4 linked regions of the Struthio camelus genome follow. The protein of the gene in region 1 purifies or fractionates together with the protein of each later gene. This does not show direct contact. Links are inferred from orthologs where the notes say so. Each region holds a gene or a part of one and is shown in the gene's direction. Other genes may lie near its edges. The genes, in order: MIOS, NPRL2, SEC13 and SESN2.

The links.
Region 2: the proteins of MIOS (region 1) and NPRL2 purify together in Homo sapiens (affinity purification with western blotting; 3 studies listed by BioGRID and IntAct, with this or other methods). This does not show direct contact. The link is inferred for Struthio camelus from reciprocal best matches to the Homo sapiens genes MIOS and NPRL2.
Region 3: the proteins of MIOS (region 1) and SEC13 purify together in Homo sapiens (affinity purification with mass spectrometry; 5 studies listed by BioGRID and IntAct, counting the BioPlex papers as one, with this or other methods). This does not show direct contact. The link is inferred for Struthio camelus from reciprocal best matches to the Homo sapiens genes MIOS and SEC13.
Region 4: the proteins of MIOS (region 1) and SESN2 purify together in Homo sapiens (affinity purification with western blotting; 5 studies listed by BioGRID and IntAct, with this or other methods). This does not show direct contact. The link is inferred for Struthio camelus from reciprocal best matches to the Homo sapiens genes MIOS and SESN2.

What each region holds. Positions count from the first base shown.
Region 1 is NC_090943.1:29,895,475-29,903,080, forward strand, and holds the start of MIOS (GATOR2 complex protein MIOS), read left to right. Parts: upstream 1-4,603; 5' UTR 4,604-4,857; exon of another isoform or gene 4,858-4,968; intron 4,969-5,227; exon of another isoform or gene 5,228-5,331; intron 5,332-5,863; 5' UTR 5,864-5,922; coding exon 5,923-7,219; intron 7,220-7,433; coding exon 7,434-7,532; intron 7,533-7,606. UniProt on the Homo sapiens protein: As a component of the GATOR2 complex, functions as an activator of the amino acid-sensing branch of the mTORC1 signaling pathway. The GATOR2 complex indirectly activates mTORC1 through the inhibition of the GATOR1 subcomplex.
Region 2 is NC_090955.1:23,925,588-23,933,168, reverse strand, and holds the start of NPRL2 (GATOR1 complex protein NPRL2), read left to right. Parts: upstream 1-4,571; 5' UTR 4,572-4,716; coding exon 4,717-4,788; intron 4,789-5,581; coding exon 5,582-5,673; intron 5,674-6,048; exon of another isoform or gene 6,049-6,217; coding exon 6,218-6,386; intron 6,387-7,197; coding exon 7,198-7,306; intron 7,307-7,534; coding exon 7,535-7,581. Other genes in the region: transmembrane reductase CYB561D2, read right to left, coding at 3,492-3,995, 4,186-4,223, 4,308-4,434. UniProt on the Homo sapiens protein: Catalytic component of the GATOR1 complex, a multiprotein complex that functions as an inhibitor of the amino acid-sensing branch of the mTORC1 pathway.
Region 3 is NC_090955.1:845,076-852,739, forward strand, and holds the start of SEC13 (protein SEC13 homolog), read left to right. Parts: upstream 1-4,661; 5' UTR 4,662-4,768; coding exon 4,769-4,771; intron 4,772-5,119; coding exon 5,120-5,164; intron 5,165-6,007; coding exon 6,008-6,123; intron 6,124-6,409; coding exon 6,410-6,561; intron 6,562-7,497; coding exon 7,498-7,631; intron 7,632-7,664. Other genes in the region: cullin-associated NEDD8-dissociated protein 1-like, read right to left, coding at 1-79, 4,119-4,186. UniProt on the Homo sapiens protein: Functions as a component of the nuclear pore complex (NPC) and the COPII coat. At the endoplasmic reticulum, SEC13 is involved in the biogenesis of COPII-coated vesicles.
Region 4 is NC_090964.1:6,449,035-6,456,624, reverse strand, and holds the start of SESN2 (sestrin-2), read left to right. Parts: upstream 1-4,589; 5' UTR 4,590-4,811; coding exon 4,812-5,324; intron 5,325-7,243; exon of another isoform or gene 7,244-7,431; coding exon of another isoform or gene 7,432-7,509; intron 7,510-7,590. UniProt on the Homo sapiens protein: Functions as an intracellular leucine sensor that negatively regulates the mTORC1 signaling pathway through the GATOR complex. In absence of leucine, binds the GATOR subcomplex GATOR2 and prevents mTORC1 signaling.

The sequences.
Region 1 (7,606 bases):
TATCTTACCGCTGTATGTTTCTGTTAGCAATACAAACTACCACGGACTGAAGGAATAAGAAATGTAGAACTGACCCAGTGTGAGAATTACTGTGTATCAAGTGTAGCTTGCTTGTCCTGACCCTTGAACTGGAAACATCTCCTCTCCCACTCATTTACGAGCCTGCAAACTCCTGCTTTGTTACCTACCAAAGTACATTTTAATTGTCACTGTTAGAAAAGGAGAAAGTGTAGCCTTGCTAGTTACTTACTAACTTTGTTGTCATCTCATCCGTCAGATGAAGATCATCCAGGCACAGAACAGGTAAAAGAAAATTAGAAGATATCAAATGTAGTTTTTCTGCATTGTCCCTTTTCTTAGAAAACCCCATGGTAAAAAAAAAGTGTTCTAAAACTTCTAGCTGCTGCAACCATACCCTGGACATTTGGACTGTCTAGGGGATCCACACCATCAGTCATTAAAAAAGCCACTTTCACACTTTGGTTACAACCTTCAGTTTTAAAGAGCTGAGCAGCATTAGAAATTGCCTAATAGGAATAGATGCCATGGCCAATAAAACTCATACTCTTGATTTTGTCTTTAAAATTCTACACATTTTTCCAAGCTGTAAAGGGATGATCAAGGCTGACTGTGCTGCTCAACAGCATACTTGCCAGTTTGACATTATACTTCTGAGATTTAACTTGTTTCATCAAAAAAATATTGTCATGTAAGTTGTAAACAATTCTCTTCTGTGCTTCAGACAATCCATTATTTACACTTTCTGAACTGTCCAAGATATATACTGTATCCAAGAGATACATATCACCTGTAATAGAATAAAAAGTTGCAGAGACACATCAATGAACATTGCAGAAACTTGTGCCTTAGAATTTAGATAACTCACTGGACCATTTCTAGCTTTGTCCCTTCCTCCTTTGTCCCATTAAATTACCTCATTCTGCAAAAAGTAATAATGATGAAATTCTGCTCCAAATTACATCATTACAAATTTATCACAACAAGTCATCCATGCTTGATTAAAACCACTCATACCAAGGACCTAAATTCTCTTAGCCTTAAATTTACATAATAGGTTGCCCAGCAAATTAATTTACTAAAAATGATGAGCATTGTCATAATTTCCCAATGTGAAAAATAATGATTAAGTTTCATCTATGTTCATCTGAAACTACATAAATGCAGGAATAAACAGTGGAACACACTGCAATATGCACATTATATTCTACTGAAAAAAACAAATAAAATTGTTTTAATCTGGACAATTATCATTCTGTATCAGACCATTAGGCTTTTGTAGTCTCTTTCTGGTTTGTCCATAAACCATTTGGTACGTGAAGACAGCCAAAAGCATAAAACAACAGGCTGAATGTTTTAACTACATAGTGATTCTGATCCAGAATCAGATGACTTACTCTTCCTTTTAAAAGAAAGCAAGTATCTATCACACTTTGATAATAACAAGCAAATATATAGATGCACATACTGTATATGCAGAACTGGGCATTCCATTGAGCACATTTTGGATCTAGAAGCAGATTCAAAAGAATAACATAAACAAAATGGTGACAACTTATTAAATACATGCAAGAAATCACAACAACAAGTAAAATCTCAGCTGTAGCTCATTTATTGAGCTCTTTGAGAGAAAATACAGGCTGAATACACATGGTTTTTCTCATTATATTTTCTGAAGACTATCTAACTTTCAGTTCTAAGATAGGCAGATGATACCTCCATTATTACTGTAGTATTACTAGCAGAAACAGAAAATATTTTTTTAAAAACTGTTACTAACAAATAACTGAATTTACAATCCATATTTCTAAACTGAACTTTATATGTGGATTTACTTTCAGGTTTACAATGCTGAGTGTACATTCTCTTTTTCTTTAGAGGCACTGGTTCACATGTGAAATTCTAAGTCTTCACACCTTATGAGCTTTTAGTAACCGGGTATATAGAATTGTTTGGAAAATAAAAAATACTAGTCAATGTGGTAACTAATTTCTTCAATACAGATTCTCAAATATACTAATTTCAAAAACTGCCAACAGCCTAAGAGTAGTTAATTTCAAATATCATCATTAGAATTACACAATAAATTATCAGTATAATAAACATATTTATTAAACATGTTCTGAGTATTTTTTCAGCAGCTGAAAATCTATTAATATTTTTCTGAGAAGATAAAAAGGAAAAATACACCAAACAAAACAGTAATATAACAACTAGAATTAATAAGAGCAACACATACATTTATATATTCTGCTGTTTTTGTTCAGTACTCGGATAATTTCATTTGTGAAAAATGCTCTAAACTATTTATTTTCTTACCTTTCAATGCATTTAAGCAGCAAAATGTAGACCAAACTTCAAGTGACAAGGTGACCTGAGAATATGTTTTTATAGGACCAATATGAAAATGAATAGCTTCTCTTCTTATAATGAAGATTACCTTGCCTATGAATCCTTTTGGTACTGTATTCACGTTTTGTTAATCAAAATTGAATCTAGTGGTTAGGCATTTAGCCGAACTTACATATATGGGTGAAATAAAAAGTCATTTATTAAAGGGACAGAATCTATGAAGTATTGTCAGTGCTTTCTTAAATTCAATTACCAGATTTATACATGCAAACTCTGCTTATCAATAACCACTGTCGGCACTTACGTCTTTTTTGGCCATAAGATGCTTCTTTTTCCTGCTGATGCACTGAAAAATACTTGACAAGGGATGGCCGGCTCAAAGTACCATCATCAACAGTAGATAAAGAATATACTTTCTATTCTGGAGCACCCTACACACTACCTGTGCCCAGTACGCTAAGGAGTATAATTATATTGTTTAAGTTTGAAAAAAAGAAACAGAGAAGAGAAGCAGATTGCATCATTGAAAGGGCAAAAGGGCCTCCTGTATTACATGACAAAATTTCAGCAACTGATTCCAGCACTATATCCATAAAATATGTAAATACAATAAAACATTTCTTTTAGTTGATTTAAAGAGTTCCAGTGGTAGAGAATAATACCACATATTTGATATCTGTTCCAGGAACTGTTTCTTCTTCAAAATGTGTATCTAATATTCTGCCAGAAGACATCAAGAGTTATTGGCTCTTAAAATGCCTTTATCTGCAAGCCCTCTAGTATCAGCCCTGTATTCATAAGTATAAACTGACAGTACTGGCAGGAGAATATTTTTCCACATAGAAAATGTCCAAACTTTTTGGGCTTGTTTTGGTTTTCTGAAGAACTCCAACTTCAAAGATACATCACTGTGGGTACTTCAGAGGGATTTTAGGTCACTTGCCATCTTCCATCTTCTGACCACACAAGTAGATTCTCTAGCTGGCCTGGACATCTCATATTCAGCACCTCCTCTACCATATTGGCGACAGAAAAGAAGTTTTGAGTTGTGGTGCATCTGCTTTACAGACAAGGACTAATATAAAACACAACTCAACTGTGTCACCCTTTGGAGCAGAAATATTTAATTTTCAGTTGCATTAATATGTCACAGAATTACTTGCACGGAAAGCAAAATTATAGCATAGCAAAATAAAATTTTACTTAGAAAACCCCCCAACCTTCCCACGTGGAAAAGTTTTGACAGAATTTTTTATAAGCTCTATTTATCAACCATGGAGAACTTTCTTTTCATGTCTGCAGAAGTACTGGATTTACTGCATGTGCACGTGAGTAAGTCTGTATGTGCTACGTTGCCATTACTGAGAAGCACCTGGAAAAGGCAGAAGCTGGGAGAACGCCTGTTGCCAGAAGCCTATGTCACATCCCCATTCTGTGCTCGAAGGACTCTGCAGAACCATTTGCAAGGCAAACAGGCAACAGCAGGATACAAACTGAATAAAATTTCCTGGTTGGTTTTATATATGACATCTCAGTTCACATCCGTTGCATTTTTCAGTAAATAAGACCGTGTAGTTGTTTCACACTTGCTAACTGATTCTACTGACTTGTAAAATCTAGGTATCCTTGCCACTGTTGCCCTTTTCCCACCTCTGCCACTGGCCTACTTTTCAACGCACACCTTCCAGTTATGATAAAGACATTGAACAACGTTACCCTGAGCAATAAGAGTATTTCAACGAATTAAAGAAAGAAGTGGGTGTCAAATGGTCTCCTTCCCAGCTATGCTGCCTTCATGGGGCAACCCCCACTCAGCCGTAAGAATTTTTGTGTCTTCACTGGTGCCCTCACTGGAAAAAAACAACCCCTCCCCCCCGCCCCAAGCTTTTCAGTTTTAACCAAGTCAGTTGCGGGCGCTGCACAGGCCGGTCTCTGGGCATTTTGAGGGTGTCTGTTCAGGGGCAGGGAACTCAGAGCCTCCGCTTCGTTCAGCAACGCCACTGTCACCCACCGCTGTACCGGGGTACCGCGAACTGCCCCAAACCTGCCGTTTCCGCGCCATTTCAGGGCCGCACGCGCAACCCCCGGACCCGCTACCACCTCACACAACTCATCAACCGCCGCTTCCGCAGGCGCCCCGCCCCCCGCAGACACCGCCCGCGACGCCTCCGCGCACGGCCCCGCCTCCTCCCGCCTCGGCACCGCCCACCGCGCCGCCGCCGCCGCCCGCCTCGCGGCACGCGAGGGGCGGCGCTTCCGCTGGACCAATGGAAGGAGACAGCAGCGCCGCAGCCCGAAACTGGAGGTTCCCTTCGCCCGCCCGCCCCGGAAGTGGCACGAGCTTTTCTTCCCCGTTGCCCCCCGCAACCGGAAGTCGTTGTGCGCCTCCCACTCGTGCCGCTGGGCCAGTGGGGCCGGACTGGGCCGCGGTCCCAGCCCCGCCGGTGGCGCGGCGGCGGCGGCGCTCTCGGAGGCCCCGCGCGGTGGGTGAGCAGCTGCCGCGCCCGAGGCGGGACGGGGCGAGGCGGAGGGTGGCGCTCCGCTCCGTTGCCGCCACCGCTGTGTCCCGGCGGGCCTCGCCGGCGGCGTCCTCGCTCGGTGGGCCGCTGCGCCGGGGAGGCGGGGCCGGGCCGGGCTCCGGGCTCCGGGAGGGGGGTGCCTGCGCTGCCCTGGAGCCCTCGGGAGTCCGGCTGGGGAGCCGCGGGAGAGCGAGGGCGGGGAGAGTAACCCGCAGACCCCGAAAGGAGGCTGGGGAAAGGAAGTAGTGCTTTGTTTCTTATACTTTCCCCGTCTGCTAAATATTTCTCCCAAGTTTAAAAGGTTATGGGATTGATGAGATCCTTTTTTTTGTGTGTAGGCACATGTAATTAGTCTGGACGTTCACCTGCTGAAAATGTAAATGCAAGTTAGCATAAGCGTGAGTTTATGAACGCCTCTCCACGACATATCAACAAAATCAAGGTAGTGTTGGTGCAGAAAGTAGTATTAGGAACAGTAGAATAAGATGAGGAGTGGAAAGTTGTATTCCTCTACAAATGTTCAAAGAGAGTAAGCCTTTTTAGGCTTCAGAGAAAACAGGCAGACTCTAATTTCTGTCAGTGCACTTAAATTAGGCAGAAAAATTTTCTTATACATGTTCTAGGGTGTGGCTCTTTACCAGCAGCACACTCATGGATCATGCCACATCACGTTTCAGTTGATCCTTTCTTCCTGGTATAATAATGATGTAATACTGGCATGGATTTTGTAGACACACTGAACCCTGTTGTCAGTTTTGTAGATGGCTATGTTGGTTTCTCAGGAGGTATAGTCCAGCAAAAACAAAGCATGCTGTAGGGAAAGTGATGTAACGTGTAGAGCGCTTAAGGTTTGTTTAGCCCTTAGACTAAAAGTAATTCAGAGCCTTACTCTTCTTTGTTTAAGAATGATCTCTGATTATGAAGGGGTTTGAGGGTTTTTTTGATAACATTGCTAAAAATTACTTTCTCAACAGTTTCTATGTGAATGGATATCACCTGAATCCTCCTACAAGAGTTTAAACTTACCCTAAATATGAGTGGCTCCAAACCTGATATTCTTTGGGCCCCACACCATGTTGACCGTTTTGTTGTATGTGATTCAGAATTAAGTCTTTACCACATTGAATCTGCTGTAAGTTCAGAACTGAAGGCAGGGTCCCTGCGGTTATCAGAAGAAACTACAGCTACGTTATTGTCCATAAATTCAGATACACCGTATATGAAATGTGTGGCTTGGTATCCAAAGTACGATCCTGAATGTCTTCTTGCTGTTGGACAGGCCAATGGTCGAGTGGTACTTACTAGCCTTGGTCAAGATCACAACTCAAAATCTAAAGATTTGATCGGCAAAGAGTTTGTTCCCAAACATGCACGACAATGTAATACTCTAGCGTGGAATCCACTAGACAGTAATTGGCTTGCTGCTGGATTAGATAAACACCGGGCTGACTTTTCAGTATTGATCTGGGATATTAGTAGCAAATTTGCCCCAGAGACGGCAGTTGCTACAGAGAAGGTGAGACTTTCAGCAGGAGATCCAGAAGCAGGACTGGTAGTAACAAAGCCGCTTTATGAATTAGGACAGAACGATGCTTGTCTCTCTCTTTGTTGGCTTCCACGGGATCAGAAGCTTCTTTTAGCTGGCATGCACCGAAATCTTGCTATCTTTGATCTAAGGAACACAAGCCAAAAAATATTTGTAAATACCAAGGCTGTTCAGGGAGTGACTGTCGATCCATATTTCCATGATCGTGTAGCTTCTTTCTATGAAGGTCAGGTTGCCATATGGGATTTGAGGAAGTTTGAAAAGCCTGTTTTGACCTTGACAGAGCAACCAAAACCTCTAACAAAAGTAGCATGGTGTCCAACAAGAACTGGACTGTTAGCTACTTTAACAAGGGATAGTAATATCATTAGATTGTATGACATGCAGCATACACCTACACCTATTGGAGATGAAACTGAGCCGACAATCATTGAAAGAAGTGTCCAACCCTGTGAAAACTACATTGCTTCATTTGCTTGGCATCCCACAAGTCAAAATCGAATGGTGGTAGTGACTCCCAATAGAACTATGTCCGACTTCACAGTTTTTGAAAGGATTTCTCTTGCGTGGAGTCCAGTAACATCTTTAATGTGGGCTTGTGGGCGACATTTATATGAATGTACAGAAGAAGGAAAGGCTAGTTCCTTGGAAAAAGACATAGCTACCAAAATGCGGCTGAGAGCTCTATCAAGATATGGTCTTGACACTGAACAAGTGTGGAGAAATCACCTCCTAGCTGGAAATGAGGATCCTCAGCTGAAATCGCTTTGGTATACGCTGCATTATATCCTTTATTTCACTGTATTATTTTATGGTATTAATTCTGAAGAAGTAACATACCTTTATATGTAAACCAATGATATGAAAAGCATGAAAGTCTTAAATAATGCAACATCCTGTAAATACTTTGTGTATGTTAATAGCATATGATCTTTTAGTTTAAAAAAATGTTTTCCAAATGCTTGGGGAAAAATTAAGCTTCCTATACATGAAAATACTCATGAAGCAGTATACTGAAGATATGGATCAAAAACTTACAGGAAACAAAGGTCCCTTAGTTTATGCTGGCATTAAATCAATTGTGAAGTCATCTTTGGGTAAGAATGTTCCAACTTTAATATGTTATAGCATATTTACACAAGGATGCACTTGTGGGTTCATTTAAAAAAAA
Region 2 (7,581 bases), on another chromosome or scaffold:
CCCGCGCGCCTCCCGCCTGCGCAGGGCGGGCGTCCTGTGCGCCGTGGCAGCCACCCAGGGGGGGTGTCTCTGCTGGCAGCGGGGGCTTTCTTTCCGGGAGGGAGACATTGGACTGATCCAGCCTCAGATTTGTCCCACGCTCAACAGATAGGCTCCCTTTTCTGAGGCCTCTGCGCTTGACCACAAAGTAACCTCACGGCGCCCACAGGAGCAAAATCAGCAAGTGAGAGCGCACTTTCTTGCTTCTTTTTTTGTAATAGTGGTTGTCCAGAGTGCCCAAAACTTCTTTTTCTCCTTTCTGAAGTAACTTTTGTTCCTTATCTGAGGAATAGGAAGGCTTGCGGGTTTCTGTTCCGAATCCTTTTCCTGTATTGACCCTCCCCTGCGCTCTGGCAGGAGCTTGACATGATCAGTCCTGAGTTAGAGGTTTGCCAGGCCAGAGATTGAGAAGCCTGTTCAGAAGGAAAGTAGTTGCTCAGCACCTGCTGCTGCTGCTGCAGTGGCCTGGCGTGAGCTCCCGCTCGGGGCCGGGGCCGTCTACTCTCAGCTTTGCAGTTAGTGCATGGAACGGGAATCAATCCCCGACTTTTCCTAGAGGTGAGAGGGGCTTCATTTTGTGGTGTTGGACTTTTCTCCTTCCTCTTGTGTTGCAGTGATTCATTTCCCTGGAAGCCAGCCCCTCTGGAAGGAGCCAGTGCCCTCAGCTGCTGCTCGACTAATCCGTTTGCCAGATTATACTAGAAGCTGGAATTAGTTTTTACAGTGGGGCGCTCGCTGCCTCCTCTGGCACCAGGTTTTATTTCCTGCGGGTAGAATATGGGCTCCCCCTTCTGTTTTCCTTCCTCTGTGTTGATGGACTTTTTTTTTTTTTTTTTGATGGAGGGGATGCTCCCTGAAAAAGCTTCCCTGAAGAGCCAGCCCCAGCCGGCTGTGCCACTTCCAGCTCCTGATTTCCCTGGGCAGTTCCCAGTCTGGGACGTGGGTTGACAGTGTCATGATTATTTTTTTAAAGGACCACACAAGAAGGTTTTGTCAACCAGTAAAAACACAGAAATTTCAGTATCAATAAACAGTTCTTTCAAAGAGAGCTGCTTGGCTAGTCCCTGAGTCAGCCTCCCGCTGCTGCTGGCACGGCTCCTGGGTCGGAGCGTGGGCCGGAGCCGGGGTGCAGAGCCTGCGGGGCCTGAGCAGCCCGCTGGGGTTTGTGTTCGGGGCCAGGTTGGTACCAGGGAGGGCCTGGAGGAGGAGAGCTGAGCTTGGGCTCCTGCCTCTGGGAGAGGTTTCCCTCGCAGCCCGAGGGCAGGCCCCCAGGAAGGGGAGGCTGTACTGTTGGCTTGGCTCTTGGGTTTTAAAAGCAGGCTGGTTGGAAGGGAGGAGGTGGGAGCATACAAATAGATGCGTTCACTGGAGGACACAGACGTAGGCTTTGCTGACCCTGACCCATGTGCCTGGAAAGCCAGACGGGACAAGGAGCTGCCCTGGCCAGGCGGTCTCGCGTGGTCCCTTCAGTTTGGGGGCAACCGATGTTGCTCAAATCCTGAGTCCCCTTCCCCTTGCCACTTTCCCTGTTTGGGAGTCTGAGAGCTGGTGCCAGCTCAGCCCTGCACCAGAGCAAACACTCGTGGGAACAGCATCTTTGCTGCTTTGTTAAACGCATCCCACACACAGAGGTAGGAAACCTGTTGCTTCAGAGGGGGAAAGAGTGCCTGCTCGCCTGCTGAAAGCCTCCCTCCAGTCCCCCCAGGGCAGTAAGCAGATCTGCTATGCTGTAGCTGCCTGAACTCTTTATTAAATAAAAGCTCTGGATACAGAGGAATTTCCCAGCTGGGGAGCTGTTCTCAGCTCTCCGGCCCTGCAGAGAGCACACGATTCGCATTGAGGCGGGAGCCCCGGGGCCCTTCCAACACAGCGCGCTGGGCTGGGGAAACGGCACTTGATTCAACCAGCAGATCAAGCCTTGCGGTGCCCTGGCTGTCCAGGACGTGTCTGGTCCGGGGAGGAGGTTGCTGTGCTGGAGGAGGGCCCCCTTACACTGGCCTGCCGGCGCCCAGCAGGCGAGACGAGGCAGGATGAGGTTATTTTCTGCCTTCCAAGCGGTCGTTTTGCAGGCCAGCTCGATGGTTTGTCCTCCAGCTGAGCGCCAAGCACCATGATCAGCATCCTGAGGAGCCCGCCAGGGCTGGCCCGCTCACAGGGCTAGGCTGGAGGGGCACACGGTCCCCTCCTGCTGCGAGGGGAGCTCTGCCAAGGCACAGGGGCAGCACCGCCACCGGAGGGGGCTGGCAGGGCACGCTCTCCCCTTGCAGGGACCCAAGGCACCTCCGGCCCCTGCTGTCTGCTGGGGAGAGCTCCCTGCCACGCGTGTGCCAGCAGGAGGCAAAGGCAAAGTGCTCCCTCCTGCACTTATTTTCCTTCCACCCCTCAGAGCTGCTCTTTGGCTCAGCTGTAACAGAGCGGGGCTGCTAGGTCCAGAGGAAGTATCAGACACGGGGACAAAACAGGCCTCAGCAGACTGCTGGTTTGCAGCTCAGCTCGATAACCTGCTGTGTAAAACAACCGCTGCTGCTGCCAGGCCTAGGCTTCCCCGTTACGCTGCTCGGCACCCCAGCAGGCAGCGGGGATTTGTGCGTGGCGATAGGTGCCTGGGTTTGGGGCTGTCAAGTAGGGCTGAACACGACCAGCTCCTGCATTTGCTGGTCCCGCTGGGCTGGGCTCAGGTGCCCCCAACCCCGTGGAGCCCCCGGGGGTCCCTGCTTGGGGCTGTGCCCCCGCGCAGCTCGCCATGGACGCTACAGTCCCGCTTTGGCCCTCCTGCCCCCCGGCAGAGCTGGCTGAAGCCACAGCCCTGCCCCAGGGTTTTTGCCAGGGACGGTGCCCCTGTTGCAGGAGAGGCAACGGGGCACGTGCCCGGTGCGGCCATCGCCCCCTCTGCCTGCAGGGCTGCCATCTGCCAGGGCTCAGCCCGGCCGCCCCTCGCGGCAAGCGGGCAGCCAGGAGGCGCCAGCCCTCAGCTGAGGTGAGCAGGGACTCCCCCGAGGAACATAACAGCTCCTAGCCTGCCCACCTGCTCCAAAACAAACCTGGTGCGTAAGGGAAGAAGAGAAGGGGAGAAATCCTGAGTGACAGCTGTCATTAACCCTCTGGTTCCCAGCATCGGAGCAGGCAAGCAGTCCTCTGCCAAGCAGCAAGCCGTTGCAGGGACCAGCAGAGTTACCTGTGCCGGCAAGCTGCTCCCCTCCAAGGTGGGCGCAGGCCAGGCAGCTCCTGCCCGTCACGTGCGTTACACACATCGTAGCTGCTCCCTGAGACCAAGGTTGACACTACAGACACTCTAGGACTAACGACAGACGAGTAGGTAGAAATCTAGTTCTGAGGAGACCACTGCGACTGCAAGTAAGGGACCCCCCACGGGAGGCTTCCCAGGTCCAGCAGCCCACAGAGCCCTGGCCCTGCTGGATCGCACAAGGCAAGCTCTGATCCCCACCGGGCCCTCAGTGCTGGCTCCGTTTGCGGTACAGGTAAGCGTTGCTCACCTGGTTCATGATCACCAGGCTGGTGAGAATGGGACACAGCATCAAGAGGTACCAAGAGACGCCGGTCACCGAGGTGGTAAACCACAAGGAACACATGCCTAGCATGAGGCTGGTGCAGCCCAGGAGGTACCCGACCAGCCCCGAGGTCGCGTGGTACAGCTTTAGCTTGGCCAGCGTCCAGTTCTTCACCAGCTTGGGGTAGAGAAGGACCACACCTCCGAGGCACTGCATGCAGGTGTACAGCACGGTGAGCAGCCCCGTCAGGCCGTGCCAGGTCACGAAGTGCGCCTTGCCGTTCAGGTGCTTGTTGTAGCTGATGATGCCCAGCCCCAGCAGGGCGCAGAGGAGGGCGAGCAGCTGCAGGGCCCAGTGCACCCGCACTTTGACTTTGCGGGAGAAGGAGCGGAGCGGGGAGCTCTCCGGCGAGAAAACCAGCAGGGCTTCTGTCAGCAGGAAGGAGAACTGGGGGGGGGCAGAGGGCAGGAGAGTCGGCACCGGCCGCTTCCCCCCGGCCCCCTCCGCGCCGCGGGCGGACCCGGGGGGGCTCGACCTGCTGCCGCCCCCCCCCCCGCAGGAGGCGGCGGCGACCCCCCGCGCTCCGCCAGCGGCCCCAGCTCGGCGCTGGGGGCGGCCCCGGGGCGGCGGGACTTACCGCGAGCGCCATGAGCAGCGGGTGCCAGGAGAAGAGGCCTGGAAGGGAAGGGAGAGCGGTGAGGCCCGGCCCGGTGCGGGGCGGCCCGGCCCGGCCCGGCCCCCGCCGCCCCCCGCACTCACTGGAGCCCGGCCGCGCCGGCAGCGCCACGGCGGCGGGGAAGCCGAGCGCCGCGGCGTGGGCAGCGGCGCCCGAGGCGGCCCGCAGCGCCCGGTACAGGCGGGACTCGACCTCCCCCGGCAGCGCCATGGCGGACGGCAGCCGGCACCGCCGCCCCGCCGGGGGAGGGGGCGCGGCGGCGCCTCCTCGTTGGCCGAGGCGGCTGTCCGTCAGCGCCGGAGCCCGCCCGCGCTTCCCGCCGAGTGGCGGGCGGCGCTGTCACTCAGGGCCAAGGCTCGCCTCCGGCCGCGTGACGCAGCGGCGCTCCGTCATCCCGTGTCAGGCCGGCAGAGGCGCTCCGTGCGCACGCGGAAGCGCTACGGGAGCCGGCGGGGGCCGCTCCGCCTCGCGCCGCTCCGCGCCGCCGCCGCCATGGGCGGCAGGATCGAGTGCGTCTTCTTCAGCGAGTTCCACCCCACGCTGGGGCCCAAAATCACCTACCAGGTGGGGCCGGACCCCCTGGGGGCACTAGGGGGGCGTGATGGGCCCGGCGTCACCGACCGGGGCTGGGGGGGCACCGGGATGGGCCCGGGACCCGGCGTCACCGCCCCGGGGGGGGGGGGGGGGCACCGGGATGGGCCCGGGACCCGGCGTCACCGCCCCGGGGGGGGGGGGCACCGGGATGGGCCCGGGACCCGGCGTCACCGCCCCGGGGGGGGGGCACCGGGATGGGCCCGGGACCCGGCGTCACCGCCCCGGGGGGGGGCACCGGGATGGGCCCGGGACCCGGCATCACCGCCCCGGGGGGGGGCACCGGGATGGGCCCGGGACCCGGCGTCACCGCCCCGGGGGGGGGGGCACCGGGATGGGCCCGGGACCCGGCGTCACCGCCCCGGGGGGGGGGGCACCGGGATGGGCCCGGGACCCGGCGTCACCGACCCGGGGGGCACCGGGATGGGCCCAACATCACCAACTGGGTGTGCACCGGGATGGGCCAGGGAACCCGGCATCACTGCCCCGGGGTGGGCACTGGAGTGGGCCCGGGACCCGGCGTCACCGACCGGGACGGGCCCGGGGCCGTGGCAGCGCCCTGGGGCCGTGCCGCCCTGTGCGTGCCGTCGGGCCCACGAGCAGTCCAGTCGCTCCCCGTCCTGGGCGGTGAGCAGCCCCCAGCGCAGCCCTTGTGCCCTGCTGCCAGGGACCCGCTCGCCCACCCGCGCGTGGTGCGTCGCCCGCGAGTCCCTTTGTCCCGACGGTGTGCTGCAGGGGGAGAACTGGGCTTTCTCTGGTGCTGCAGGTCCCAGAGGACTTCATATCTCGGGAGCTCTTCGATACTATCCAGGTGTACGTCATCACAAAGCCCGAGCTGCAGAACAAGCTCATCACTGTGTGAGTGTTGTCAAGGCGCGTGTCCGGTCCCAGTGGGGTTTGCTGTCCCCACCAGAACTGGGCAGGTCTTCCCTGGTGGCTCAGCAGAGATGGCAGCCTGGTTATGTGACAACATGGAGTCTTCCAGCTGCCAGCTCTGGCTCTGGGTTCACAGGGGTTTCTGTCCCAGGGGTTAATACGTTAATTATAAGGCCCAGTGTTACTTGTGCAGAGGGTTTGAGTATCTGATTTTGGGGGTGGCTTGCACTGCCTGTGCTTCTCTGTAAGCCTCAAATCCAGGAAATTCAAATTAGTGTTGAGAGGCACACTGGTTTCGGGAAGGATGCAGGTTTTCCCTCTAATGATTGACTCTTTGCCTTGCATTTCCTTGGAAAGTCTGTTTTAGACTCTGGACAGGCTGAGCATTTGGGGAAGAGGCATCAATTTGCCGGCGGAACCAAGAGGAGCTCTGTTTCCAAAGCAAACCGGGAACTGGCCTTTCATGAGGTCACATCTCCAGCCTCCGTGAAGAGGTAGATGCAGGTTATGCCTGTCTGTCCAACAGGACTGCCATGGAGAAGAAGCTGATCGGCTGTCCTGTTTGTATCGAGCACAAGAAGTACAGCCGAAACGCTCTGCTCTTCAACCTGGGCTTCGTGTGCGACGCCAGAGCCAAGGCCTGTGCGCTGGAGCCCATAGTGAAGAAGCTGGCTGGCTACCTCACCACCCTGGAGGTAAGGCATGAGGCAAACCCGCTGCTCCAGGTTGGAGGGGGACCTGGCCAAGGGCTTCCCTCTTTCGCTGGCCTCAGGGCTAGGACAGAGTTCTTTCCCCGCCAGCCCTCAGGGGCATGAGGGCAGGCAGCCTGGCGTGGGACGTGTTTGACCGTGCTCTCCTTTGCTTGATCAGCAAGGAAGATCGTTATGCCTGCTGGTGGGTATTTGATGAGAGCTGGAAACATTGTCTCTCAGAAAAACATGCTTCTGGTGAGCTGCCCACGGTGCCCTGCCTCTGTGCGGCTGTCTGTCTGTCTCTGGCTGCTGCTCAGGATCTGCCCTGCAGCATCATCAACATCCTGGTGCAAATTGCACGTCACTGGGCGTTGCTGGGGTATGGGCCAGGCTTACGATTGAGGAGGGGGTTGTGCTGATCTTAGCTGTGCTCTTACTCTTAAGTTTAAGAGTAATAAAAAAAAAAAAAAAGCCATGCAGAGAGAGGTCTGATGAAAGCTCAGAGGAAGTTTAGGAATATTTAACTATAGAAAGACCAAGGAAAATCTGAAGCGAGCAAACTGCTCTCAGGCCTCCTGCGCGCTCCCTGCTCTGAAGACAGCTTTGATTCCTGGCAGAACCTTGCTCTGTTGATGCCGTGGGACCTCTGCTGTCGCTACAGTGCCCCTTCATTTTACTAGCCTCACTGTTTGAGGAAAGATTCTCTAAGATTGGCCGGGAAAACGAGCAGAGGAAGGGATGTGAGAGACGTGTGCGGTTCCTATAGCTGGTAATCGCACCGGGAGGAGCTGACACAACTTTCTGCTTTCTTTAGCTGGAAAGTGGCTTCATCTCCAATGAAGAGAGTAAACAGAAGCTGGTCCCGATAATGACCATCCTGCTGGAGGAGCTGAACGCCAAAGGAAAGTGCACCCTGCCCATAGGTACTGTCGCAGCAGTAGGTCTGCAGGGCAGCCGCGGCAGTAACGAGGGCTTTGCTTTCTGCTGGCTGGAGCCTTGTGGAGAGGGTTGGGGGAGGTGAGCCTTGCCTGGTGCTGGCAGCGCCTTGGTTCCCGGTGCTCACAGCCATGGCGTTCTGGGGCTGATGGTAGCGAGCGCCTGCGGGAGCAGAGGTTCCTGTGTGAACTGAGCGCTGCTTTTTCTCTGGCCAGATGAATCGAACACCATTCACCTGAAGGTGATCGAGCAGCGCCCGGAC
Region 3 (7,664 bases), on another chromosome or scaffold:
AACTTTTTTCTCGCTGTCTTCATCTAGCTTTATAGAATCTTTCTGCAGTTCCATCATCAGGTCATTGGTGGCCATAAATCTGAAACAACATACAGCAGCAGTGGATTGGCTGATATACATACACAAATGCATTTCCTAGAGATTGGTTGGAGACTGAAACTTGATGAATAGTGCATGTACGAAAAAACACTTCCAAGCAGTAACCTACAGCCCTTTCACAGTATGCTGAAAAATAAGGCAGAAATAATCATTACTATCCTACAAGTGGAAAACTCAGAGGTAACGGCTGAAAAGGACTTAGCTAAGGAAGCTATGAAAATGAGAAATACACATTATTTCCCATTCTCTCCTCCGCTAAAAATACTTGGTAGGGATGGGGTAAACCAAGACTCTAGAATTGTCACTGTGGGATCTCGCCTGTATATTTTGTTTCGGTAACTCCAAATTGAAACGGTTAAGGATGCTAGAAAAATATTTATTTTTCTCCCCAACTGGCCAATTCTTATGAAAACGAGCCTGGGGTCTAAGAACACAACTAGCTCTGTTCTTTCTGGCTTATGTGTATCATTGACAGAATCTTTGTTACTAGCAATCAAATGCAGTAGTCGATTAGACCACTACAACAGGGAGCAGCAAGCAGTTCTGAAACTTGACTACCAATTCCAAGGGTAACGTACACACCAAAACACAGTTTAGCCTACCCTTTTCTGGAAATGATGTTTATATCACTAAAACAAATAAATGCTCAGAACAGCTAAGACAGAGTTGATCTTTCCATGCAGGAGAAGGATGGGATCATGAGATCTGGGCTTCCTCTCCAGTTCCATTTTCTAGAATTGTATGAGTCCAAACATGGAGATGGCCTATCAAGCTAAGAAAATAAGAAAACAAAGTAAACTACGCTTTAAAATTTACCTTGGCTATATTTAGATTTCCATTATTCAGCCCAGTCATAGTTTGTTTATACCCTTCTGCTCCTTGGAGCCTTTCCTAACCTAAACAGTGGTGTCATCCACATACTCAACCTCTTTCCTTACTTAGTTCCCTTCCAGAGGCTTTTTTCTGTTCCACAGAAAAGGTACTAAACATCTTGCTGCACGGACGCACTGCTAATGAAGGACACAACGCTGTGAACGGCACGCAGGCTTTTTTATCACTTGGGTCCAAGACAAATAACAGATGCTGCATCTGCGCTGCAGCTTCTATCGCTGAAAAGACCACTACAAAAGTTATCTTCCTCCAGCATTATGTGCAGCCTTGACCATCTCATTTCCCCCTTTGGATTCTTTGGTGTCCTTTTACTAAGAAGCACTCACCTGCTCTTTATTCCCTATCCACTGTCCAATTAATTACATTCAGATATGATTAACAACATAAGGTAATATTTGGCAGCAAGGACCATTTCTGATTGCACTTTTTTCTCCCATGAGCAAAATCAAGCACTGCATTTATCATTCCAGCTTAGAAAGAAAAACATATCCCAGCTCATTCCTAGTCAATATTATTTTATAATAGGGACAATGTCAAAATCAATATTGAAAAGTTCTAGAAAGTATCTATTTTCCTGGGAGCAGGATCTGTACAAGGTGCTGGTATAGAAGTCTGCGAAAAATTAAGTAGGGTTAACATGTATTAGTTCTGTTCTAATGTTAGTCCAGGCACAGAGATGAACGTCTAAAAGGCAGCACAGAGAAGCTGCTCTATTTTATTTACCAGGTGACACCTCCATTTTAAATTAGGCTCTGATGTAATTCATTCAGCAGTTAAAAGCCCTAATGTGCCAGGGCAACATTTGTATCTTCAAAGTGCAAGCTTGTTCTTCAGTAGTAAGTAGGTACATGGGGAACTAGAGACTGCTGTGGTATTAGATAACCAGCCAGCCATCCAACATGAGAAAAACAGAGCAATTCTGACCTATAATTTTAAGAATATGCAGTCTATTTCTGATTCAGCAAGAGCTATTAAGCTGCACTTTCCGCTCATCATCCGCATAGAAAAAGCATGACCAATTATGGCCACGGACTGAGCAGAAGCTGCCACAGCAACGCATCCAGCTTTCGACTGGCTACCTGCTGCCATCCTGCCCACCGGTCCCTCAGAAACTGGTATACAGATCTATTTATGGGACACAAGCACATGAAACCCAGTCCTGTAACTGAAACACGCCTGGCCACGCAGCAGAAGATAACATGCCCACGCTTAATCGTGTGCTGGGGAGAAATGTCTGTGGAATATCCCTATAAAGTGACAAATGCCCTGTGCTGGGCACATCTTGCGCGGAATATTAACTGCAAATTTCCTGAACAAACTGTTAGTGCAACTACTCCATCATCGACTTCCTTTAAAAGTATCCATTTAGCATGAGAAAAACAGCAGCAGCCTGGGCAGAAGTCACCCTACTTTTCGGGTATCAAGTCTGGCACAACTGTTACCTTCCAGGCTGACATGGAGAACAGCAGAGGCTCGTGGGCAAAATCTTTCATATTTGTTAGTTTGAACTTTTTTTTTTTTTTTAATAGAACACCTTTAATATTAAGCCACTTACCCCAACCCTAAAAAGATGTCTCTTTTTTTCTACTGACATAAACAAAAAGCAATAAAAGCATCTTAGTCCTGTTAGGGAGGCACGGCAACGGCAGTCTTTTCCCGTTGCACAGAAATAGTTCCTAAAGCAGTCTGAATACAGTCAACATCTGCAGCGTCCATCCTCTGGGTGACACAGCCTTCCAGAGCACTGTTTCTAATACACTGAACATCTAACTTCTAGGGGAAAAACAAATGAAGAACTATTTCAGCATTTTTGCTATGATGTTCTTCATTTGCAAACAAATAAGCTTTTAAAGCCTAATCTAGTTATTACTACTTTTGTTCCCCTCTCCACTTTGCTTGCTTATTTGCATTATGCTGCGATACACACAAGGGAGGGGAAAATCATTGGTGTCTCTGCTTTCCTCCCCTCAATCCTGAAAAAAATGCTCGGTTTAAAATATTGCAAAGAAAACAGATGAACGCCTTTGAGAAAAATAATACCATCCATGCCTGCAGTTAAGATTTTAGCTGCCAGCAGGGTTGGGGGGGCACTGTGCCCGCTCCTGATGCGGAGGGTCCCCTCGAGTGCAAAGGACTCCTCCATCGCAGAAGGTACTTCCCAGTGCAGGGGTCCTTCAGGTCAGGGTGCACCCCATGCAACGGGACCCCCGGCGCAACGGGGACCCCCTCAGTGCAGGGTTTTCCCCAATGCAAAGGGTTCCCCCCAACAGAGAGGGTCCCCCAGTACAGACAGCATGCCCCAATGCAGGTGCTCCCCCCCCCCGGAGTAGGGCATATCCCAGCGCAGAGGGGTCTCCAACATGCAGCAGACCCCCCAACACAGGGGGGACCCCGAACACAGGTCCTGACACCCCCAGCGCAGCCAGGACCCTCCAATACAGGTCCTGACCCCCCCAGGGCAGAGGAGACCCCCCAGGGCAGGGGGGACGCCCCCAGGGCAGGTCCTGACCCCCTAGGGTAGGGGAGATCCTCTAATACAGGTCCCGACCCCCCCCCCAGGGCAGGTCCTGACCCCCCAGGGTAGGGGAGATCCTCTAATACAGGTCCCGACCCCCCCCAGGGCAGGTCCTGACCCCCTAGGGTAGGGGAGATCCTCTAATACAGGTCCCGACCCCCCCCAGGGCAGGTCTCGACCCCCCAGGGCAGGTCCTGACCCCCCCCAGGGCAGCTCTCGACCCCCCCCTCAGGGCAGGTCCTGACCCCCCCCCCCAGGGCAGGTCTCGACCCCCCCCCCCAGGGCAGGTCCTGACCCCCCCCAGGGCAGGTCTCGACACCCCCCCCCAGGGCAGGTCCTGACCCCCCCCCCCAGGGCAGGTCTCGACCCCCCCCAGGGCAGGTCCTGACCCCCACAGTGCAGGCCCCGACCCCCCCCAGGGCAGGTCCCGACCCCCCCCAGGGCAGGTCCTGACCCCCCCCAGGGCAGGTCTCGACCCCCCCCCAGGGCAGGTCCGGACCCCCACAGTGCAGGCCCCGACCCCCTCCATACAAGCCGGTCCTGACCTCCCCCCAGAGCAGGGAAGACCCCCCCCCCAAATGCCGGTCCTGACCCCCCGGCGCAGAGGGGGCACCTGAAGTCCTTGTCGGTGGAGGTCATCTTCTCCAGGAGGTTGGAGATGTGGTAGGAGACGCTGCTCATGGCGGCGGTGGAGGTGGCGGCGGCGAGGGGGGTGTCGCGTAAAGATGGCGGCGGCGGCGGCGGCGGCGGCCGGGGGTCTGCCGCGGCCGCGCCGGGGGCGGGGCCCGAGCCGGGGCGGGGCGGAGTCAGGGGCGGGGCGGAGTCAGGGGCGGGGCGGAGTTAGAGCCGGGGGCGGGGCCAGAGCCGGGGGCGGGGCCAGAGCCGGGGGCGGGGCCCACGCGCGGCGGGGGCAGAGCTGGGGCTCGGCCGTGGTGCCCTCAGCGCTTCTCCTCCCGCAGCGCGGTTTCTCCTCAGACTAAACCCTGGCGCCCGCGCTGAAGCCCGCTGGCGCAACGGGCAAGGCCACGGGCGGGTTGGCTTTGCCGGTGGGAAGCGCTCCCGTCGTTAAGCGCTCGAGTCTGCCTCCAAAAGAGTGGAAATACCCGGAACCTTGGCGCGCGGGGCCGGCGGGCGGCCGGAACCTTGGCGCGGGGCCGGCGGGCGGCGCGCGCGGCCGGGCGCGTTTCGGCGACGGACCGCCGTGCCACGTCCCAGGGCGCGGGCGGCGGGCGGGGGCCGGTCGCCGCCGAGGGAGCCGCCGTCATGGTAGGGCCGGGGCCGCAGCGGGAGGGGTAGGGGGGACTCGCCCGGCCCCGGCCCCGGCCCCGGCCCCGGCCCCGGCCCCGGCCCCGGCCCCGGCGAGGAGCGGGGCCCGCGGCCCGCCGGGCGCTGCGTAGCTGGGCAGCCGCGGGCCCGCCCGGCCGGCCGCCGGCCCGTGCTGTCCCGCCAGGCCCTCGGAGCCCAGGGGACTCCGCTCGCCTGTCATGCGGGTTAGGGGGCCCGTAACTTGTGACCTTTTCCTTTTCCCCCTGCTTTTGTCGAAGTGTATCTTTTCAGTTGCTCAGGTTGGATGCGGAGTGTATTTGTTCATGTCTCCCCTCCTCCTCCCTGCAGGTCTCAGTAATTAACACGGTGGACACCTCCCACGAGGACATGATAGTAAGTGTCTGTGCGGGCGCGTTGTTGTTTAACACGGCCGCGGTGGGGGCGGGGGGAACTAAACGCGGTTCAGCTCTGTTAACTGTACTGTCTTATGAGATTAACTTTACGGCACTTGCTTAGGTGGAATGAAGAATATAATGCATATGCTCTGTAGATAAAGATGTGTGTTGGGGGGGGGGGGGTTATTAGATGGAGAAAGCATACCACTACTAGAAAATCCAGTAGTGCCATTTCATCCCATGTAGACCGCAAAATGGAGCTACCTAGGGAAGGAGAAATAATTCTAAACTTTAACTTTGATATCTAGACTTGCTTCTGTGAAACCAAATATATGCATATGCTAAATGGTACAGAACTGGATAAGTTAGATTCATTTTTTTTATGTGGATGTTTCTGGGAACAGAGGTGTAAGCACAGATACAAAGACAGATTTCAAAGTGATTTGAAGGAACAATGCGTTAGTAGAGTTAAATAACGCAATTTCAAACATAAATAAGATAGAGCAGTATTTTTATTCAAATTTTACCTATTCAGAAACAAAAATATTTAACTTTGTCGAGGCTTTACAATCGGTGACACTGATTTCCTGCCCTCTCCTGAAAATACTGTATATTGCTACTCTGAATTCCCTAGATTACTTCTGCACTAACTTTTGCACTGTGAAACCAGTAATGGGGAGAGGGATGATTTATGTGGATTGTCTAGATTGCTTTAAAACTGTACTCTTTATCCCGCCATCCTGGGAGTCGGTCATTGCTTGCAATTCTTAGAGCTACTTTTAAAATGTAATAATTGTTAACAAATCAAAATTTACGCAGCAGTTTTTCCGTTACCTTATAGCATGATGCTCAGATGGATTATTACGGCACTCGGTTAGCAACCTGTTCTTCAGACAGATCTGTGAAAATCTTTGATGTTCGGAACGGAGGGCAAATCCTCATAGCAGACCTAAGAGGGTAAAGTGCGTTAATCAGAAGAATTTATTCTGTGGAAAATTGTAATAGTTCATCATTTTGCCTTTTGATAATGTAAGAAGCATAGTAAATTCCTCTAAGATAGTATTTGCTACGGTGAGTTGTTGCTAAACAACTCTTCAGAGCTGCGAGAGGGAACAGAGACCCAGTTAGAAATAACAGTGTGGCTTTTTAATTCATTGAATGCTGGCCGCCTATAACTTCCTGGAAGTATGCTCTTATTTGTTAATATGTAGATAAATATTTGTTTTCACATTGTTTCTTGCAGGCATGAAGGTCCAGTGTGGCAAGTTGCCTGGGCTCATCCTATGTATGGAAATATCCTAGCTTCCTGTTCCTATGACAGGAAGGTTATTATTTGGAAAGAAGAAAATGGCACTTGGGAAAAGACGTATGAGTACACAGGGCATGATTCCTCAGGTATGTGGTATTTGGAGCTGGGAAGTGAAACTGGGGATAAAAGGGGATTCAGATAAGATTGGAATAAATCCTTCGGTGTTAAGGGAAAAAAAGTGTTTATCAAACAGAAAAGGATTGAATTAATGGAGACACAGGAAGTCTAGTCAACATAAGGATGACGTTTATGTAAAGGCATACTGCTTGAAAACCAGCTGTTTTAATTCATGTAATGTTTGCATTGCAGTTGTTCTACAAATAAATCAGCTTTCAAATAAATAGGTAGTATTCAGAATTCTTGATCCAATATTGCATGTGTCCACTCTAGGAAGAAAGAAAAATTGGATTTTTAGCGTGCTATGTTTTGTTTTACAACGGAAGCTGCTTTGTTCAGATGACTGGTCCTCCTACAGCCAAATCTGAGAAGTCTCCCAAGTTTTGAGTACGCTAAAGCCCTAAGATGATGATAGTGGCCTCCTGAGAAAGGAAAGACAGTAGCTAGTTTTGCTGTTCAGCATTATTCTCAAAGGGATCAATGAAACTGCTCTTGATCAATGCTCCGAAGACTAAGCCTGCATGGAAAATGAGAGGAGGGCTACTTGTTTGATACACAGCTTTGTTTTGTTACTTATGTAGACCTATAATTACTATTCCTGTCACTTGGCTTTCGTTCTAGAGTCAGTGACGCTCTGTGCTGTTGTAGGGTATAGTCAGGGTTTTTTACTCTCATTAAAAGCATTCTTTCAGTGTTCCCTTTCTAAAAAGGTGCCAAAAACACTGGCAGATTTCCATCATTCAGGGAACCGAATTAACCGACTGGCTTTGAAATTTAAGAACGCTAAGACTCACGTTCTTAGTTTTCAAAGTTGTTCACTTCTAGTGACTATTCACTAATATTAGTCAGTTTGTCAGTTTTAGCTAGTCACTGTGTTGTAATCTAGTCTTTCTCATTTTTCACAGTGAATTCTGTCTGCTGGGCACCACATGACTATGGACTGATACTGGCCTGCGGGAGCTCTGATGGGGCCATTTCGTTATTGAGCTACACGGGTGATGGGCAGTGGGAAGTCAAAAAGATCAGCAATGCACATACTGTAAGTGTTCTCTTGGAGCAATACGGACTTCTT
Region 4 (7,590 bases), on another chromosome or scaffold:
TTCCAGCAGAAATTTGGTGGCCCAAAACTCTCCTGATACTTCCATCTGAACGTGCTCCTTGGCCCTTGTGGGAGCTGTAGGTCAACGTGTTGTGGCTTTGCTTCTCATCTGTCATTGCAGCTTCCTAGTGAGGCGACCAGTTCTCTGATGCACCTTGCTTTCCTCTGGCGGGGCAGATGTGCTGTGTCCCTGAACCTGTCTGTCCTCAGGGCACTGCCTGTAGTGGAGAACGAGGAACTGCAAACCGTAGCTCTGAAGAAACACCTCAGCAGCTTTTCCAACTCAAAATATTCTCTCTTTTATGTTTTTCAAAATCTAGAGCTGTACGCGGAGAACAGCCATTGTTTGGGAAAGCATTAATTGTGACAAATGCCCAAATTTGTAGTTAAACACCGAGAAGAAAAATAGTTTCTAGGGAATCTTTTTCATCAGTCTTATTCTTCTGATCTCTTTGGCTTCTAATGCCTGTGAAAAGAGACTGATTTGTGTGCATTGAGACATATTTGAAAGGAAAGAGATGGTGTATTTCAGATGGCTGTTGCCTCCTCTAACTTGCCCCCCTTAGGAACTGTATTACAGTAGCTCACAGAGGGTAGCAGTCTGTCCTAAGTCCACTGGCTACAGCCTTACAACCCCAGTGGAAGGAACAGTTGTATATTTTTCTTCATAGCCTCTTCCAGGTGAGTCATTCATTTTTTTAGCAGCCATTAGTGCTACTTTCAGGGAAGGAGAAAGGACAGGATGTAAGTTTTCTTCCCCTTTCTTTTGAGCTCTGAGTTACTACTTCTGATGTGGTTGTTTTCCACCTGTAAATGGTCAGAGTTTTCGTCCTGGATTTGTTGGACCTCTGGCTCCCTGAAGTAGCCACAAGCCGTGTCGAGGGAGGGATGTCCTGCTTGAAGCATTTAGGTTATTGCCACCTTGCTGAGTTATTGTGGCTCAGCTGACTCAGGGTAACTTGTTGTAGGAATTTACGAACGGCTGTGCTAGGTCAGACCATAAATCTAGATGAGTACCCTCTCTCGCCAGGTAAAGGCCACGGAGGGGATCCTGGGGAAGAGGGTACAAAACCAGATCATGAACAAAGCAATAGTTTGTTGGCTTCTAGCACCCAGTGGCTTAGGGGCTTCCTGAGGTGAGCGTTGCACCTGTGGCCTTTAGTAGCTCCTGGTACTTTCCTCTTAGGTCCGTTTTTAGCCAAAGGTGGCTAAATCGCAAGCTCTTAGCCTGCCACAGTTGCCAAGTCAAATGCTCTCCTGGCGCAAGAAGGCAACGCGTGCAGAGACAATCTGCTTGGCAGCGCTTTCTCTGGTTAGCGCTACGTAACTGTGCCAGTGGTGCTTAGCATTTATATGGCGCTTAATCTCTGCTGATCGCAGCGCAAACCTTGCTGTATCCTTGAAAGTGCCCAATTATCCTCATTTACAGCAGGTAGGAAGATAGATAAGAGAACTGCTTTGCCGAAGGCTAGGCTACAAGTCAGTGGGTAGAGCTGGAACCAGAGTGTAATTTCCTCAGTTCCTCAAGCCCTTGCTCTCCACCTTCGGTATTGTGTCTCGGAGGGGCCACTTTGTCTCTGCCCTGACAGAGCTGCAGGGAGAATTTCAAATGGGTTGTGGGCAATTTTTGCAATTCCCAGCCAGACCTTGAGTAAGAATTGATTGGCTCCTGCCTTTATCTGCTAGTGCACACTTCCTTCTCTCTGTGGTTTATTCAGTGGTCCTAAAGCAGCCTGCATGTTTGCAAAAGGGATTTTTTTTTTATTTTGGGTTGTGATTACTCTATTTCAAAGCTTTCGGAAAATATCCTCTGCTGGTTTTGACGGTAGCTGAATGCGCTTGAAAAGAATCTTATATACTGATCTCAGCTGCCTCCTCGTAATGACATCAGGGTTGAAAATTAGACTTCCAGTTTTTGGGCCCCATTCCACTAGTTTAGGTGAGCTGACACTCAGCTAGCCCTCGCCGTCTTCCAGCGTCAAGAGGCTGCAACTTCAGAAATGTTAACCTAGGTAGTTCGAGTTGGTTGGGTTTTCAGGACACAATGAAAATGTATTGCAAAGCAATTTTTGACCTCTACTAACCAAGAGGATTCAACTTTTTTTTTTTTTTTTTAAGTAATTACTTGAATAAATGTCTCCTTTCCAAAGCTGTAGGCCCCCTGGCAAGGATCTGGAACTTTAATAGGCGAATGAATAAACTGCTTTGCAGCCTAACAGCGTGTACCCGCAGCAGAAGTAAACTGCCTTAACCAGCTGGTAATTACAGAGAAACATGCTCCCTTCCATTCCTTTCCCTAATTGCTGGGGCTGTCTGGGAGCGCTGGCTCACATAGCATGCCCTGGAGGGCGACAGGTTTGTGCTGCATTGTCTTTAAAAAAAAAAAAACAAAACAAACACCTAAGGGTCTTAAAATCCTTTAAAGCTTCAGCAACTTATGTTTTGTAACTGATCCAGGAGAGGTGAGCGCAAGCCTCATTCTCGAGATGAGGAAAGAAGGGGCAGAAAGGTGAAGCGAAACAAGCTGTCTGAGAGACGAGGCTTCTTGCAAAGTCAGCGGAGAGGGCAGTGGGTGCTTCGGAGGCGGGCGATGCAGAGCACCGCAGAGAGCAAATGGGGCTTTAGGGGTGGGAATATTCAGCATTACCTACTACTCTCTCTTATCTGCTAGGAGGATAAAATTGGAATGGAAAATTAGACCAGCTCCTTTGGGTTGGTGCTTTCCCTCTTCCACAAGAGAGGTTTCCCACAAAGAAAGCTCGGCTACCCTTTGCCTCCTTCCAAAGGGAATCTCGAAAGGTCCGGGAGTCCAAAGGCGTTGGGGCTGTTACCCCAGTCCTTACCAGTGTACGACCACACAGTACTCAGTGCTCCCTCCTGAGGCGCATGGAAACGCTCTCTCCTGCAGGTTGCTAAAGCTCCAAAACAGCTTGGACCAGTACAAGCCACTGTTTCTGATGTGTTTACGCTCCTGAAGCTCTATCCCTCTATTTGCAGCGCAGGATCCTTAACAGAGAGAAGACCCGGGGGCAGGTGGAGCTGGGTATTTGCCGTTCGCCTTGGTTTCAGGTGGCGCTGCGACGCTTCCGACCGCGTTGCAGGGTTAGCTTCACCCTCTGCGGGTTCAAATGATGCAACCGCTGTCAGGCTCTGATGTCCTGCTGCGGAGGAATTTCCCTCTTCTCCACCCTGCAAACGGATTAGGCTTCCCTATCACATCCCACCAAGCCCGAATGCCTGTAGTTTTTCCGGCAGGAGGCTGTAACGGGGGGAGGCACAGAGTAACCAGCCTGTGCTGGCAAACCAGCTTGCCGCTCGTTTGATAGGAGCAAAGCGCATAGGAAAAGGAAATGCTTAAATAACTGTGTGTGACTTACCTACTGCAGATCCTCCCCCCCGGCTCCCTGCAGAGAGGAGAGTCCCCGTGCGGTCTCTGCTGCCTCCCTTTGTCCTTGGGGTTTTTTGCCTGGCTGGAAACACCAGGCCGGCGAAAGCCAAGCAAGGCAACGGCTGTCCCTGGATGACCTCACTATTTGCTAAAAGGTGACTTATCTTAAGCAATCTGTCTTGCCTTCCCGTTCAGCTTTCTTAACAGCACTCTGTTGAACTAAATCAACAGATTGTACAGTCAGCATCTAGCTAACTAGGGCGCTCGCAGTGCCTAAATAATTACAGAGCCGTTGTGTGTTCCCCATGCTTGGTGCTTCTGCAAACAGGGCGTTTGGCTTCGGCTCTCGAAGCCTCTAGAAAAGTTTGCCTCTGCTTTGTCGCCCTCCTCTCAACGAATGTTGTAACGATCCTCGTTGCGCAAGCTGTGCTGCTGTGTGGCGGGGAAACCCTCGTGAAGTAGCCAGCGCAGAGAAACCCTTATGCAGTCGGATTTCCCTGAAGAACGAGCGCTGCTGAATTCAAATTGCCGCAGAAGCAAAAGGTGAGACCTCAAGCGCTCTTTGGTGGGGCTTGTGGGACAGAAGGCCGAGCAGAGGGCTGCCAAGCAGGACCTGAGATGCTGCCGCTTGCTCTGGGACTGCCTGGTGCCACCGGTTTTGCTTCGGTAGCTCTACCCCCTGCTAGGCTGGGGGCCAGTTCCCTGCTTGGCACCAAACTGGTTCATCCTAGAGAGGCTCTCAAGTCACGAGGGCAGACGTGAAGCTCTCCTGGTGCCGGGGCTGGCGCGCGGTGCCCTCCCCACCCAAACCTCCCGGGAGGGCCGAGGCCGGCAGGACGCCGGTCCTGCGCGCGGAGGCGTTCCCTCCCGCCCGGCGTCGAGGCCAGTCGGTGAGACGGCGTGGGCAAAGTCTGCCCGGCTGCTGGGGCAGCAGGTTCGTGGCGCGGACGGGGGCTCCCGACAGAGCCGTGCACATCTGGAGCGCGCCTGTTTAGGAAAGACAAGGCAGCACCCTCTCGCCGCGGCTGTCTCCATGCCAGAGAAAGCTGCAGAGGGTTTTCTTGCAGGGAAATTTAACTAAATGCAAAGGCTCAGGGACTGCTTTGGGCTGTTTTTCACTTTTGTTTATTCACTGCAGAATAAACGTGCAGGGGTGTGGATAGAAGGGATTTGGAGTGGTCAACCCCATCCAGCACAGAGACCGCCCCTGAATCTCTGCACGTTTCAGCAGGCAGCTCCTTGCCTGCGCTGCCTCCTCCTACGTGGCAAAGCCCCAAGAAGCCTTGGGCAAGGTGCTGTCCGATGGGGATCTCTGCTCCTGTTGCCAGGCTGCTTTTCAAGAGCAACTTCCAGGGGCTGGGCGGAGGAATGAAGCCTCTGACATTTTTCCAGCAGTTGTTTCAGGCCTGATCCTACAGGCAGTCATGGCTGGACCTGGCGGTGGTTTGGACGGGGTTGGGGGGGCTCTGAGCAGCTCCTGGGATCACGTGCAAGGAGCTGGGTGCAGCGGGAAGCCGCCGGCCGTCCCCAGCGTGCCCCAGCTCGACAGCGCTCCGGGCCTCGCTCTGCCCCTCCTGGCGGACAGAGCAAGAAGGTTGCGGCGGCTGGAGATGCTCCTGTTGGCTGCAGCCCTGTGGTTGGGTTGCAAATCACCTGCAAATCACCGAAGAGGCCCAGGCAACGCGGAGCCGTGGGAGAGGAGCCCCTTTGCATCTCTTGCAGCACCACCACCACCGGGTGGAAGGGGGAGAGAGAAAACCCCCAGGGCCAGCGCCGAGCGCGGAGGGTACAAGCCCCTTGCAGCTAAGAGGTGGCAGCAGGTCATCTCCTTTTGCCAGGCTGCTGTCGAGAGAGGGGAGAAGCTGCTGACAGCCCGAGCCGGCTGGTACGTGGGAAGGAGCATTGCAAACAGGCCAGGAAAAGTGCTGAGGCTGCAGGTAACCGGCCGCGCGCCTCTAATCGGCCGGCGACGGCTCAGCCAGGGCTGCGGAGCAGATGGGGGATCGCGTGCCGCTCCTTATTGCCGAGCGAGCGCACTGCTCGTCCCTGCAGCCGCCCGACCTCGCTCGGCCCTTCCTTCCCCTCCGGAGGCTCTGGGCAGCAGGCTCTGGGGCGGCTCGGTCCTGGCGTAGCCCTCGATGTCTTCTGGGGGGATGTTTTTATCTTAAATATTTGGTACTGCCCGGGGGGGCGGAGGGGGCTGCTCAGCCGCGCATCCTGGGCCTTGCTGCGCTGCGGGGTGCAGCGGGTGCAAATCCCTGCCACGGGGGTCCGGCCGGGCTCGCTGCCGCGCTGTCCCACGATGCGGGTTCTCGCTAAGGGGGCTGCGTCCTGCCCCGCTGCCACGGAGCCGAGGGCCTCCGGGCGCTCGGCCCCCTGCTCGTTGCCGCCGCCGCGGTCTCGAAGGCTCGGCTGCTCGGCGAGCTGTCGCTCCGGGCGCAGGGCCGAGCCGGGCGCGCCAGCCGGCGGAGGCTTCGGCCCCCGATCTCCCACCCCGCACCGGGCGTGAATCCGGATCTGACCGTTCCCCCCAGGCTGATGATAAATATTTTGGGAGCAGAGGGTTGCTCCATCTCGGGGCTCCGCCCTGGAGCATCCTGAGCATCCTCGAGCTCTCTTTACCCCACGCAACGCCGCAGCTCCTGCGGGGTTTGCAGAGCAGGTTCCCCTCTTTTTGTAGCCATTTCTACCTGGGAGACGTGGACCGAAACGGCGTCTCCGGCAGGAGCGACTGCCCTCGTCCGGGCGCCGCGGGCTGGGCGAGCTCTGGCGCTTTCGCCGCGAGCCGCGCTGTGACGGAGGAGGTACAGGCTGCCTGATCCGCTCCCGAGCGCTAGGTTTTGGCCGAGTTGTCTTAAAACCGGTGGTTGGGTTGCATGCACCTTCCCCAAAGCCGGGTGCAGGGATCCGGGCTCGGCGCTGCACCGGTGCCGCGGGGAGCGTGGGGGCCCCGGGCAGCCTGGTCCTTGCTTCACCCGTCTCCCCTTCAAATCTGATGCAATTAAAAAAAGGGAGCTAAAAAGCTCCCGTTCCTCTCAAATAACACAAACGCGAACGTCCGGGCGCCGCTGGGAGCCCCAAACCCGCGCCAAGCCGCGCTCGTGAAACCCCACTAAAAATAGCCCTAGGTGCATGCAGGCCTGCAGGCGCCGGGAAGGGGGAAGGCGGTCAGAGGCGCGCGAAGCTCCCGGCGCCGAGCTGCCCAGCACCGCTGCGCCGAGGCGCAAGGACGCGTTCGCCTAATTGGCGGCCGCTCGGCACGGCAGCCGGAGGAGGCTGTTGCCAGGCGAAACCCGAGTTGTTTGTGCAGCGACTTGCGTGCGCTGGACTTTGCCGCGTGCGGGCTGTCAGGCAGCGCCAGATTGTTATCAGCGCTGCTGTCCGGGGCCTCTTTTTTCCTGTTTTTGTTTTCCTTTTCTTCCCTCCTCTCCCCTTCTTTTATTGCGATCGGCGTTCGCTATTGCAAGGGAGGGGAGCCGGCGCTGGAGCGGGGAGCGGGCGGGAGGGCACGGCTGCTCTTTTCGGGGGGAGGCTGCTGTTTTGCACCGCAGCTGAGGGTGGAACCGCTGGGTGCAAAGCCGGGGCGCGGGTCAGGGCCGGGGGTGCCAGCTCCCCCCTTTCTCGGGGCGGGGGACGCCGTTGGGCCCTGGGCAGAGCGGCCCTGGCCGCCCCGCACGGCCGGACTGGGGCAAACCGGTGCAAGCGGAAAGGCGGGACGCGCGGCGCGCTCCGCCCTCGGCACGCGCCGGGGGGCCGCGCGCCCCCACCACCCCGCGGACTACAACCCCCGGCAGCCCCCGCGCCGCCCCTCGCTATTGGCGGCCGGCCCCGCCGAGGCCCCGCCCCCAGAGACCCCATTGGCCGAGCGGCGCTCGGGGCGGGGCCAGATGGGTTAACACCCCCCCGGCCCCCCTGCGGTCGCGCTATGAAGGAGCCGCGGGTGTCGGGCCGCGCTGCTCTAGAACCGAGGAGCGTTCTAGAGCCCCGGGGCGGTTCTAGATCTCGCGGGCGGTTCTAGACCCCCCGGCCCGGCCCGGCGCTGCCATGCTGGTGGCGGGCTCACAGTGCGGCCCCCCGGGGCTGGTGGAGTACCGGGGCTGCGGGGCCCTGCGCGGCGGCGAGGTAAGAGGGTGCCTGCCCGCCCCGTCGGGGGGGGGGGGGTCGGGGCGCTTTGGGGGACCGAGACCCGGGACTCCGTCCTGT